Linked DNA regions of Elephas maximus indicus. The protein of the gene in region 1 purifies or fractionates together with the protein of each later gene. This does not show direct contact. Links are inferred from orthologs where the notes say so. Each region holds a gene or a part of one and is shown in the gene's direction. Other genes may lie near its edges.

What was found.
Region 2: the proteins of PTPN3 (region 1) and KCTD3 purify together in Homo sapiens (affinity purification with mass spectrometry; 4 studies listed by BioGRID and IntAct, with this or other methods). This does not show direct contact. The link is inferred for Elephas maximus indicus from reciprocal best matches to the Homo sapiens genes PTPN3 and KCTD3.
Region 3: the proteins of PTPN3 (region 1) and SHKBP1 purify together in Homo sapiens (affinity purification with mass spectrometry; 4 studies listed by BioGRID and IntAct, with this or other methods). This does not show direct contact. The link is inferred for Elephas maximus indicus from reciprocal best matches to the Homo sapiens genes PTPN3 and SHKBP1.

Annotation. Positions count from the first base shown.
Region 1 is NC_064827.1:59,014,597-59,018,343, reverse strand, and holds the start of PTPN3 (tyrosine-protein phosphatase non-receptor type 3), read left to right. Parts: upstream 1-1,385; 5' UTR 1,386-1,505; coding exon 1,506-1,554; intron 1,555-3,747.
Region 2 is NC_064842.1:4,530,030-4,533,776, forward strand, and holds the start of KCTD3 (BTB/POZ domain-containing protein KCTD3), read left to right. Parts: upstream 1-1,092; 5' UTR 1,093-1,776; coding exon 1,777-1,859; intron 1,860-3,747. UniProt on the Homo sapiens protein: Accessory subunit of potassium/sodium hyperpolarization-activated cyclic nucleotide-gated channel 3 (HCN3) up-regulating its cell-surface expression and current density without affecting its voltage dependence and kinetics.
Region 3 is NC_064829.1:111,084,031-111,087,777, reverse strand, and holds the start of SHKBP1 (SH3KBP1-binding protein 1), read left to right. Parts: upstream 1-771; 5' UTR 772-799; coding exon 800-885; intron 886-1,109; coding exon 1,110-1,163; intron 1,164-1,275; coding exon 1,276-1,321; intron 1,322-1,428; coding exon 1,429-1,502; intron 1,503-1,855; coding exon 1,856-1,914; intron 1,915-2,164; coding exon 2,165-2,245; intron 2,246-3,747.

The DNA of each region.
Region 1 (3,747 bases):
TAAAACGGTGCCTGACAAAGCTAGACTGAGAGGGCCTGTGATAGCCCTGTGGAATTCCCGAGATTCCCTGAACTGCTCAGAAGAGCTGTCAAACATCTCCCACACACACAAAGAAGGCATAGAAGATAGCTGAAAGAGCCAACGGTTCTGCAGATGCTACGATATCAGAACAAAAATATCACAATAGATGTCAGAATTTAGAAAACACTGGGAGACCAACTGGGAATGCAGAACTCTCAGCAACTAAAAACCCGACAGCTAAAAGCCTGACTAGGTCGTGCTCAGAGGCCACACATTTCAACAGTAGTCAGGGTAGAAAGAAGACCACTGAACGCCAGATGCCTGCTCTATCCCAGTCATGCACACACACACACACTCCAAGGACTTGAACTTATACACAACCCTGGGGAGAAAGTGACATGGAGAAATCTCTGAACTGGCTCAGAAAATCTGGAATTAACTAAGTTTCTGCCACCAGGAGGAATGAGGACCCAAGAGAAAATGTAACAGAAGTTATAGAAAAATAAAGCTACCTTTGTTTCGCAGATCTGAATTTTGAACTGGAAAATTCATGCTCACTACAAATGTTTGATGATTGAGTAAACAAATAAAAAAATGGGAGGTGGGGGGAGCTCTGCTGCAGTAAGCCCTTGGTGCACCAGTTTTGGCTATTCCCCTAAAAAAAAAAAAAAAATTCCCCTAGGAAGACAATAATTACTGAAAAGAATATCTGCTTTCTAGTCCTTACTCAGCCACTTACTATCTGTGATTCCTTGAGTAGGTTGCAAGTCTCTTTAGACCTCAGTTTTCTTATCTGTAAAATGGGGATAATGATACCTTCCCTGACATCTTGACAATGTTATTGTGAGGGTCAAGTGAGACAGCATGTGTGAAGGTGCTTTATATGGGGTTATAATAAGAGCATGTGGATCACCCCTGCCTTGTGGTCCAAGGACTAACAGAAAAGTAGATGGACTCAGGGATCAAAGAATTCTGTGGTACTCTACTTGTCAACCAAAACGTTCTTCTAGAATGAACAAGGAACAGTGGCTAAGTTTTCCCTGCAACCACATCAGAGCTAACTGGAGGATATCAAGGGTTACACTCTCAGTATCAGCCCAGCACACTTCATCAGGAAGAAATTCTCTGGATCCAAAACAGATTTGTTTTCATTGTGAAATAGTCTATCTGCTGAGCAACAACAAATTAAGCTCTGGGTGACTGTTCCCGTAAAACACGTCCTGTGCTTTACACTGCTATTATGGGGTGGATAGGCATGGTAAAGAATCAATTAAAACTCTGACACATTAAATGGAGTTCGAAGACCTGTTTCGCAGGTTTCCCCAGAGGAGAATAATCATGTTACATTACACTTTGGAAGCCGATCGAGGCAAGATTTCGGAGACAAGTTCTGGGGTTTACAAGACAGACTTTAGCTTTTCTAAATCATTTTTGAAGTGTTGTTCACAGGATTACAGCATTCAGTTCACTAGGCCAACAGCATTATGGTGGAGCAAGGGGGATTATCATCATACGGGCATCCTCCGGAGAACTGTAAGTTCCCTTCAAATGCATTTAAAGAAATGATGGAAATATTGCAGTATTCATATTTACGGTCATTTTGAAATGAAAGCGAGTGTTAAGCAAGTAAAGCCAGATACTTAAACTGAATTTCTTTTTTAGTTTTATAATACGGTTCTACCACAAAAGGGGAAGTCATTGTTTAGGAACTCTCAAAAGAAGTTCTAGAATTTCTAGATGTTCTAGATGAGCCTCACAGTGAGCGAGAGGGTCAATAGTAGAATATGAATAATTTTGTGGTTATCGCTGCTTAAATTATGCTTCTATGACAGTAAGGAGGAATGTTAATGGTAAGAACAATGTGTTTTTTGGCTAACTCAGACATCTGTGTAAACCATCTTCAGTCTCATTGCCTAAATAACTTCTGTCTCTCAACATGAACAAGAAGAAAAAAAATTGAGGTTAAGGCAGTATATTTTCAGAAGTGTTGCCTACAAATGAGCTTCAGCAGAAATAAAGAATTGAACAGGAAAAAAGCCAGCCAAGCGTCAGCAATAATCATTGTTGAGGGACAAGTAAGGCTTGCAGACGCAATCCATGGGTCAGGAAATGGTTTGGGGGACTCAGCTAACCCCCAATTTTGAGGGCAAATGCAGAAGCAAAGAACTAGAGAGAAAAAAACACCATGAGGATGGAGTGTTAAAGACATGCTTTCAAGACATTTCCCCAGAAGAGAGAGACAGCAAGTATGAAAAGGAAACCCAGAGTGTAAAGACAAGACCAGTCCTGCCCATTCAAGTGCTCAGCTTCAGTAAAGAGCAGGACATTTGCAGTGGAAATGTTCTCATGGTGCAGGAATCTGTTCAGTTAGGAAACTAAAACAGTTTGACACTTCCATATGTGGATTCTGCCCACAACATCTTTTCAAGGATGAAAAGGTGAGAAGGGGCTAGTTAGATGGAGGCTGGGGATACCAGTTTTGTTTTTTTGCTTTAATTGTGCTTCAGGTGAAAGTTTACATCTCAAGTTAATTTCTCATTCAAAATTTATACACATATTGTTTTGTAACATTAGTTGCAATCCCCACAATGTGACAGCACACTCCCCCCCGCCCCGCCCCAGGTTCCCTGCGTCCATTCGACCAGTTCCTGTCCCTTCCTGCCTTCTCATCCTGCTTTTGGACAGGAGCTGCCCGTTTGGTCTCTTATATTTGACTGAACTATAAGCACACTCCTCATGTGTATTATTTTTTGTTTTATAATCCTAACCTTTGTCTGAAGAGTGGGCTTTGGGAATGGTTTCAGTTCTGGGTTAATAGTGCGTACAGGTACCATAGTTTTGTGAGTTCCTCCAGTCTCTGTCAGATCATTAAGTCTGGTCTTTTTAGGTGAATTTGAGTTTTGTTCTACATTTTTCTCCTGCTCTGTTCAGAACTCTCTGTTGTGTTCCCTGTCAGGGTGGTCATTGGTGGTAGCTGGGCACCATTTAGTTTTTCTGGTCTCAAGTTGGTGGAGTCTCTGGTTCATTTGGTCCTTTAGCCATTTGGGCTAATATTTTCCTTGTGTCTTTGGTTTTCTTCATTCTCCTTTGCTCTGAGTGGGATAGGACCAATTTATGTATGTTAGATGGCCACTCACAAGCTTTTAAGACCCCAGATGCCACTTACCAAAGTGGAATGTGGAACATTTTCTTAATAAACTATGTTAAGCCAATTGACCTAGATGGGGGGACACTAGTTTCAGCCCAGTGTACCTCTCACTATAATTTTCCAAAAAAGACATTTTGGATCTTTTCTTATTTAATTTGCCATCTAAATCCTTAAGGCCCTTTCAATTGCTTGGACAAAGTTATTGTATGTGTTTTTTATTTATTTATTTATTTTGCCAATTAATATGCAAGTGTGTCTGCTGATGCTTTCTTAATCTTTGTAGAACAAGGGCCCCTCAGGGTTACTGAAATTGTGCCAGGACCTTGAAGCCTTGTGGTGCTGCCAAGGTCCTTGGGTTTGTGCCTGCCCTGTACTCTGCTATCCCATCCCCACCAACTTTTTCACCTCAAATACACACTCCCACTACACTGGGATTTCTCCTGTCATTTCATACTAAAAATGTTTCCACTGCTTAAAGCCAACCAAAAAATTGAATATCATTAAAATATCCAAATTTCTCATTTGGCAGAAAGGGGAATTTAACTTCCAGGAGAATTTTAACAAGTTAGTTAAAGGTA
Region 2 (3,747 bases), on another chromosome or scaffold:
ACGGGGCATCAGGATTGGAGGAAGACTCATTAACCATCTGTGTTATGCAAATGACACAATCTTTCTTGCTAAAAGTGAAGAGGACTTGAAGCACTTACTAATGAAGATCAAAGACCACAGCCTTCAGTTTGGATTACACCTCAACATAAAGAAAACAAAAATCCTCACAACTAGGCCAATGAGCAACATCATAATAAATGGAGAAAAGATTGAAGTTGTCAAGGATTTCATTTTACTTGGATCCACAATCAACAGCCATGAAAGCAGCAGTCAAGAAATCAAAAGACGCATTGCATTGGGTAAATCTGCTGTGAAGGATGTCTTTAAAGTGTTGAAGAGCAAAGATGTCACCCTGAAGACTAAGGTGCGCCTGACCCAAGCCATGTATTTTCAATTGCATCATATGCATGTAAAAGCTGGACAACGAGTATGGAAGACCGAAGAAGTGATGCCTTTGAATTGTGGTGCTGGCGAAGAATATTGAATATACCATGGACTGCCAAAAGAACGAACAAATCTTAGAAGAAGTACAACCAGAATGCGCCTTAGGGGCAAGGCTGGCGAGACTGCGTCTTACATACTTTGGACATGTTGTCAGGAGGGATCAGTCCCTGGAGAAGGACATCATGCTTGGCAGAGTACAGGGTCAGCGGAAAAGAAGAAGACCCTCAACGAGGTGGATTGACACAGTGGCTGAACCAATAGGCTCAAGCATAACGACGATTGTAAGGACGGCTCAGGACCGGGCAGTGTTTCCTTCTGTTGTGTATAGGACTGCTAAGATCTCTAGGACATTTTTACTTTCACAACCTAAATCCGTGTTGAGAAGGTGGACAATGTAACTGTGTCCAGAGTTGCCCTCAATTTGGAAGTTGGACCACTGGTGCTAGGAAACCCTAAACGTACGAGGGAAACGGCCTGGGGTCGCCAGGAGAGGCGGGAAGAACAGAAATCCCGCCTGGTAGGCAGCGTGTCAGGAGCGCATTCCCGCCCGCCGTCAGCGCCAGCGCGCCGGCCGGGAAGCTCCTCCCCCGCCTTCCTTCCCTCCGCCCCGTGCTCGGGCTGCAGCGGGCAAGCGGGTGCGCGCTGCGGTATTTTGTCCCGCGCGGTGACCCCTCCGACGCGGGCTGCGGCTGCGGCGGGAGAACGGGTGCGCGCTGCGGTATTTTGTCCCGCGCGGTGACCCCTCCTCCACGGCTCGGCGGGCGAGCGGGTTGCGCTGCGGTATTTTGTCCCGCGCGGTGATCCCTCCTCCGCGGCTCGGCGGGCGAGCGGGTCGCGCTGCGGTATTTTGTCCCGCGCGGTGACCCCTCCGAGGCGGGCTGCGGCTGCGGTGGGGGAACGGGTGCGCGCTGCGGTATTTTGTCCCGCGCGGTGACCCCTCCTCCGCGGCTCGGCGGGCGAGCGGGTCGCGCTGCGCTATTTTGTCCCGCGCGGTGATCCCTCCGAGGCGGCTGAGGCTGCGGCTGCAGCGGCCGCCGTGGCGGTGGCGGCGACCGTGGCGCCGAGCGCTGAGCTGAGGCGCGGGTCCGCCCGGCGGCCGTGAGAGGTGGAGACTGGGCCGCCGTCTGGCGCGGCAGGAGCGGGGAACGCGGCGGACGCCAGGGAGCCTCGCCCGGCCGCCGGGAAGGTGCGGGAGGCCCCGCGCCCCTCCCGCGCTCCGGCCGCCGCCACCCGCCGGCCCTGCAGCCGCCCCAGCCTCCTCGGGCTCCGGCCCCGGGCTCGGCGGCCCTGGCCGGGGAGGCAGGGCGGCTGGCGCTCCCGGAGCCCCCGGAGATGGCGGGAGGGCACTGCGGCAGCTTCCCCGCGGCGGCGGCTGGCAGCGGCGAGATCGTCCAGCTGAACGTGGGGGGGACCAGGTGAGTCGGGCGAGGGCCGGGGTGCGGGCGGCCTGCAGGGCGGCGCGGGGCCCCGGGGGCGCGGGAGCCGAGCCGGCTGGGGGCGGGAGGGATGCGGGGCGGACCCTGAGCTGCCCCGGTCTCTGCTCCGCGAAGGGAGAGGCCGCGGGCCTCCTGGGATCGCCGAGCGCGCGGTGCGTACGGCCGAGTTGCCGCGTTCCCACAACGCCGGCTTGTTGCTCCCCTTTCTAAGGGTGTCACGCTTAACGCATTGCTGTTAAGCAAGTTGTGGCTCGTAGGGACCCTGTAGGGCAGGTAGAACTGCCCCGTAGGGTTTCCGAGGAGCGGCTGGTGGATTCGAACTGGCAACCTTTTGGTTAGCAGCCGTAGCATTTAACCGGTGTGCCACCAGAGTTCCCACAGGGGAACGTCATGCAGTCTTTTCCCAGTTAACCTTAGGGGTTGTTGCGGGAATTGATGTTGTAGATGCGGTGTGGCTGTTGCAGATGAACCTGCCTCCTTTTCTCTTCAGTCAGCAGGGAGGTGGTTTGCTTCAGCACGTAAGGATTCTGTGTTCTTTCCAGGAGGCCTGACTAAGGGCTGTTGGTAACCTCGAAAAATTTTTGCAAACGGAGTGCAGTATATTTGCAGACGGTCGTTATTTTCAGAGTCTCTTGGTGATCGGTTTGAAGGAGTTATTCAACTTTTAGGACAGCCTGTCCAGAAACTGCAGTTTGAACAGTTAGTTCTGGGAACCTTTGGGTATTGCCACAGTGTGGTGCAATCGGAGTAAACAGACTGACAGCTTTTAGCTGTCTGTCGTCTGGCCTTCCACTTCTTTCCTATGCCTTACACTAAATTTGATTAAAAAAAAAATTTTCATCGGGTCTACTCCAACTCATGGCGACCCTATAGGACAGTAGAACTGCCCCCTAGGGTTTCCAAGGAACAGCTGGTGAATTTAACCACTACGTCACCAGGGCTACTTTAAGCTTGTTAGGTTAAAAAAAAAAAAGTTGTGGATTTTCTATGGCTTATGAGTCACTCCTTTCAGAAAAGAGTTTGCCAGCTTTGTTTGAGGGAAGGGGGAGTTGAGTTTTACGCTTGGTGGATGAAAGATGAAGCGCTCTGGAGTTTAGTGTATTTTGCAGGGCTCAAGAATATGAAAGGCTTTCAAAGTGTAAGACTCTTTTGACTAATGTATTTAAAAATGCGAAATGACAACAAGGTGAATCATAGTAATAACAATGTGTAGTGTTTTAATCCTGAAATAAAATAATTTTGTAAGTATGTATGAGAATTCACCCCAAGAAACAGTAACACTTTGTTCTTTTCCTGGCCTTTATTTTCCCTCCTCCCCCAAAGCAAATGTTTTAAGAGCTTAAGAAGTTAACGACATTATAGCTGCTGCATAGATACCAGCCTGTGAAGGTATCTTAATGTAAGAAACTGATTTTCCCCCTAAAATTACATGAATATATGTACATCCAATAACTTACGGACACACACACACTCTGCAAGAGTAAGCCCTCAGTGTGTGTTAATACTGAGTAATGTTACAGTCATTTCGCATCCTTACACTTTTTTCTAATTGTTGTTGATTGTTAATATATTCCTTTTCAGGCATTCTAGAGGATATACAGTATCATGATCAAAGTTAAACAACGTTATTAATTAGTATGTATTGAATGTGGATGGCTTTGTGGATGGCTTTTTTTTTTTACTAATGAGTGAACTTTTTGGTTAACGATTGTAGAATTCAGTTTAAATTTCTAAATGGCAGAATGCAGTGATCTGGGAGCTCAGACATTTTACTTCATGTTTACGTTATTTGTGGAGCTTGATTTTATTAGGTTCTAAATTTTTTTTAAATGCATTAGCAAAGAATACAAAATGAGATATATCATGG
Region 3 (3,747 bases), on another chromosome or scaffold:
GAGGAATGTGGGAGGCCCTAGCCCCCCACACTCCGCCGCCTCAGAGCCATGCGGTTAATTACTGACTTAGTTTATTTTTGCAAAACGTCAACCTCCTCCTCCCCTGCCCCGCATCCGCGAAGGCTTTAAATGCGAGGGAGCGTCAAAGCTCAAAACTGTCTTCCTCTCTCCTCTCCCCTCCATCTGTAAATGCCCTTTTATGAGGGGTGGGGCGAGGGGGAGCCCTCCCCCTGCATGCTTCTGGCTGGAGCACCTCCCTGGGGGTTGGGTGAACGGGTTGTGGGCAGCCAGGAGAAGCCACTGGGGCCTGAGGGTGTGGGGCGGTGTGACGGGCGCACACTGTAAGTACCTATAATAAATCTTTTGGCTTTGACGGTCTGTGATGGTTGGTTCTCTTTTTATCGGCCGCGCCAGGATTGGGGGAAGGCTGTAGGCGGGACCGCGGGTGCGGAGAATATCTAAATGGCTCCCGTGGTGTGGACTGAATTCGGGGTCCAAGCACAGGGTCCCGGACGAGGCACCTAGATGCCATACCTAAATAGGAGACCCTGGAAGGGATGGGGAAGTGTTTTGTTAACCCGCAGCAGCTAAGCTTCCCTAGAGTAGCCGCCGGGTCCGCCCCGTCCGAGCCAGTAGAGAAAGGCCCTTTAAGGAGGCGGGCATATTAGCTGTGACGAGCGAGGGCACTATCCAATCGCCGGCGGCTCCAGGGCCCACCGACCCAATGAGCATGCGGTGGGGGCGGGGTCTGGGTGCACACGCGGAAGCTGGCACAGGCTGGCCGGCTCGCTTAGGGGCCATGGCAGCAGCGGCGACTGCAGCTGAGGGGGTCCCGGGTCGGGGGCCTCCCGGGGAGGTGATTCACCTGAACGTGGGGGGCAAGAGGTGAGTGTAGAGGAGCCCTTGGGGTCGGGGAGTGGAGTGGGAGTGCCCGCCTCTCCTGGGGGGAATCCCTGTCCGTCAAGGATTGCCCCGCCCCCTTCTGGAGGCGCGAGAGCCTGGAAAAGCACCGGGGGAGGGGAAGAAACTCGCCTGATCCTGGGGGAGGGGGGTCGCATCCCTCCAATTACCCCTATCAGCTTATGCGTCCACTCACCCTCTCTGCCCAGATTCAGTACTTCCCGTCAGACTCTCACCTGGATCCCAGATTCCTTCTTCTCCAGGTGATCGGGAGAGAGAATTTGGGGTGGGAGGGGGAGAGGGGCGAGAAGGGAAGGGATGGAAAGACCTAAACTCTCCCGCCCGTAACACTTGCTCTGGGTACCCTCACTTCAGTCTTCTAAGCGGACGCATCTCCACGCTAAAAGATGAAACAGGAGCGGTGAGTAAGACTAGGGGAGGAATTGGGGGGCCGGTAGGAGGAGGGGCAGGACTCCCCACTCGGCCCGGCTCTTTGCCCTGTCCATCCTCTGCCCCCCTCTCCCACAGATCTTCATTGACAGGGACCCCACCGTCTTCGCCCCCATCCTCAACTTTCTGCGCACCAAAGAGCTAGACCCCAGGTTAGCATGGAGGGCAAAGGGAGGGGGTCCCCCACCTTCTTCACTCCCTGAGAAGTCTCTTCTCCCCCTCAGAATGTTCACTTAAGCTTCACTGTATTAGAATTCTCATTCAGAATCATATTAAATTGCTCATATGAAAATTATATGCCCCCAGAGTCCACACACACACACACACACACACACACACGCACACATCCAACCCGCATGTCTTTACTCAGAATCTTGATCCCGTCAGAATCGGTGCCCCTGGGGATTCTCCGTGCAGATTTGAAACTTCCTTCTCAGAATTCTCTGCCCCCTGTCCGCTTCCCTCGTCCCTCAGACCCTGACTCCTAGTTAATTCTACTACCCAGGGGTGTCCACGGTTCCAGCCTCCTCCATGAAGCCCAGTTCTATGGGCTCACTCCTCTGGGTAAGTGGAGGTCCGAAATTAGCATTCTCATTTGCATAGAACACCAGCTTTCAAGTGAATCTCCTTGATTCCTCCCTGCCCCTCTTCCCCCTCCCTCGTGAAAGAGGGTTGAGTTAGAGCTGAGAACACTGGCTTTGGTCTTGGGTCCGAAAGTAGCGATGGTATTCTGTGGGGAAAGAGCTGGGGAGGGGAAAGGAGTCTGTTTCAGTACCCCCCCCCAAGTCCCAGCCTTAGAGTTGTTCTCTCTCAGTTCGTCGCCTGCAGTTGCGGGAAGAGCTGGATCGATCTTCTTGTGGAAATGTCCTCTTCAACGGTTACCTACCCCCACCAGGTGGGCACTCCTTTCAAATGGATGGGGTCGTGAATTAAAGACTACATTTCCCTCGGGCCCGCTTCTTGGATGCCTGTGCCGTTAGCCCTGGGACATAATGGGAGTTGTAGTTCTGCATCAGATGCTTGGGCTGATCCTGGGAGAAGTAGGAAACTGCATTTCCCATGAGGCATTGGGCCATCGAGTCTTTTTTTTTTGAAGCGCAGAAGTGTGCCCCAGGGCCTGATGGGAGTTGTAGTCCAGGTTTGTTTTCCTTGTGGGGAGCCTTAGGAAGAGCTAGGATCCTTTGCATGGAGGGGAGAAATATTAAAGGAGAGTTTGTGACTACTACCTTCTTGAGACCCTAGAGCAGCTAGCCCGCTGGCCATGGAAAATATGCCCCAGGGGTTGTTGGGAACTGTAGTCCGCTCATATCCCGGCTCATAGCGACCCCATAGGGGTTTCCAAGGCTGTAAATCTCCGCGGAAGCAGACAAGCACATCTTTCTTCCGGAGCCGCTGGTGGTTTCCAGCTGCCAACGTTTCAGTTAGCAGTTGAGCGCTTTCACCACTGCAACCAGGGCTCATACTAGGCTTTGCTTGTTGGTGGAAGGAACAGAGTAGGGAAATTGTAATTATAGCTTTACTTCTCTAACCTCAGTCATTACCGACTGCCTTAATGCGGTACCCCCAATGTGAAAACCTGTGCTATTGTTTTATTAAGTTAGGTTTACTTGGCTTTCAAAAAATATTCGTTTAAATACAAACTTTGTACCAGTGCTTTTATACCACAAATAGGAAGTAAACATGAAAAATAAACTCAAAGATACGGTAGTTGTTGTTAGTGCCATCTTAGTTGCCCTCAAGCCAGCTTCAACTCAACAGAGTGAAAAGTTGCCTGACCCTGCCCCATCTTCATGATTGTTGGTAACTGGACAGTTTTCTGCTGTGATCCATAGGGTTTTCACTGGCTAATTTTCAGAAGTAGATGGCCAGGTCTTTCTTCCTTTTTTTCTAACCCAAACAGTGTCATTGAATTCTGGCTAGATGCTTTTGCCTCCCAAGGGCTTACCTGCTCTCCATTTATTCAAAAGGAAACATTAGGGAGCGTTAAGGAGCCCTGGTTATCCCTGGCTGCTAACGGAAAGGTCAGCGGCTGGAACCCATCAGCTGTTCCTCAGGAGAAAGAGGTGGCAGTCTGCTTCTGTAAAAGATTTACAGCCTTGGAAACCCTATGCGGCAGTTCTACACTGTCTTATAGGGTTGGTATGGGTCGGAATCGACTCACCAGCAACAGGTTTGGGGTGGTTTTTGTTTTTGGCTATTAGCAAGTGTTAGAGAGGCTTCGTAATGGCACCAAACTAAGTCTTCGTCTGTGGCTGGACCCGAGGCACTAAAGAAGGAGTAACTCGCCGTGTGATTTAATACTGTTGAATGCCACGTCCCTGCACCACCTAAAATCTCCTCGCCAGGGGGCTGCGCGCCCTGCTGCGTGGGCGGGGAGTCAATGGCATATTTTAAGTG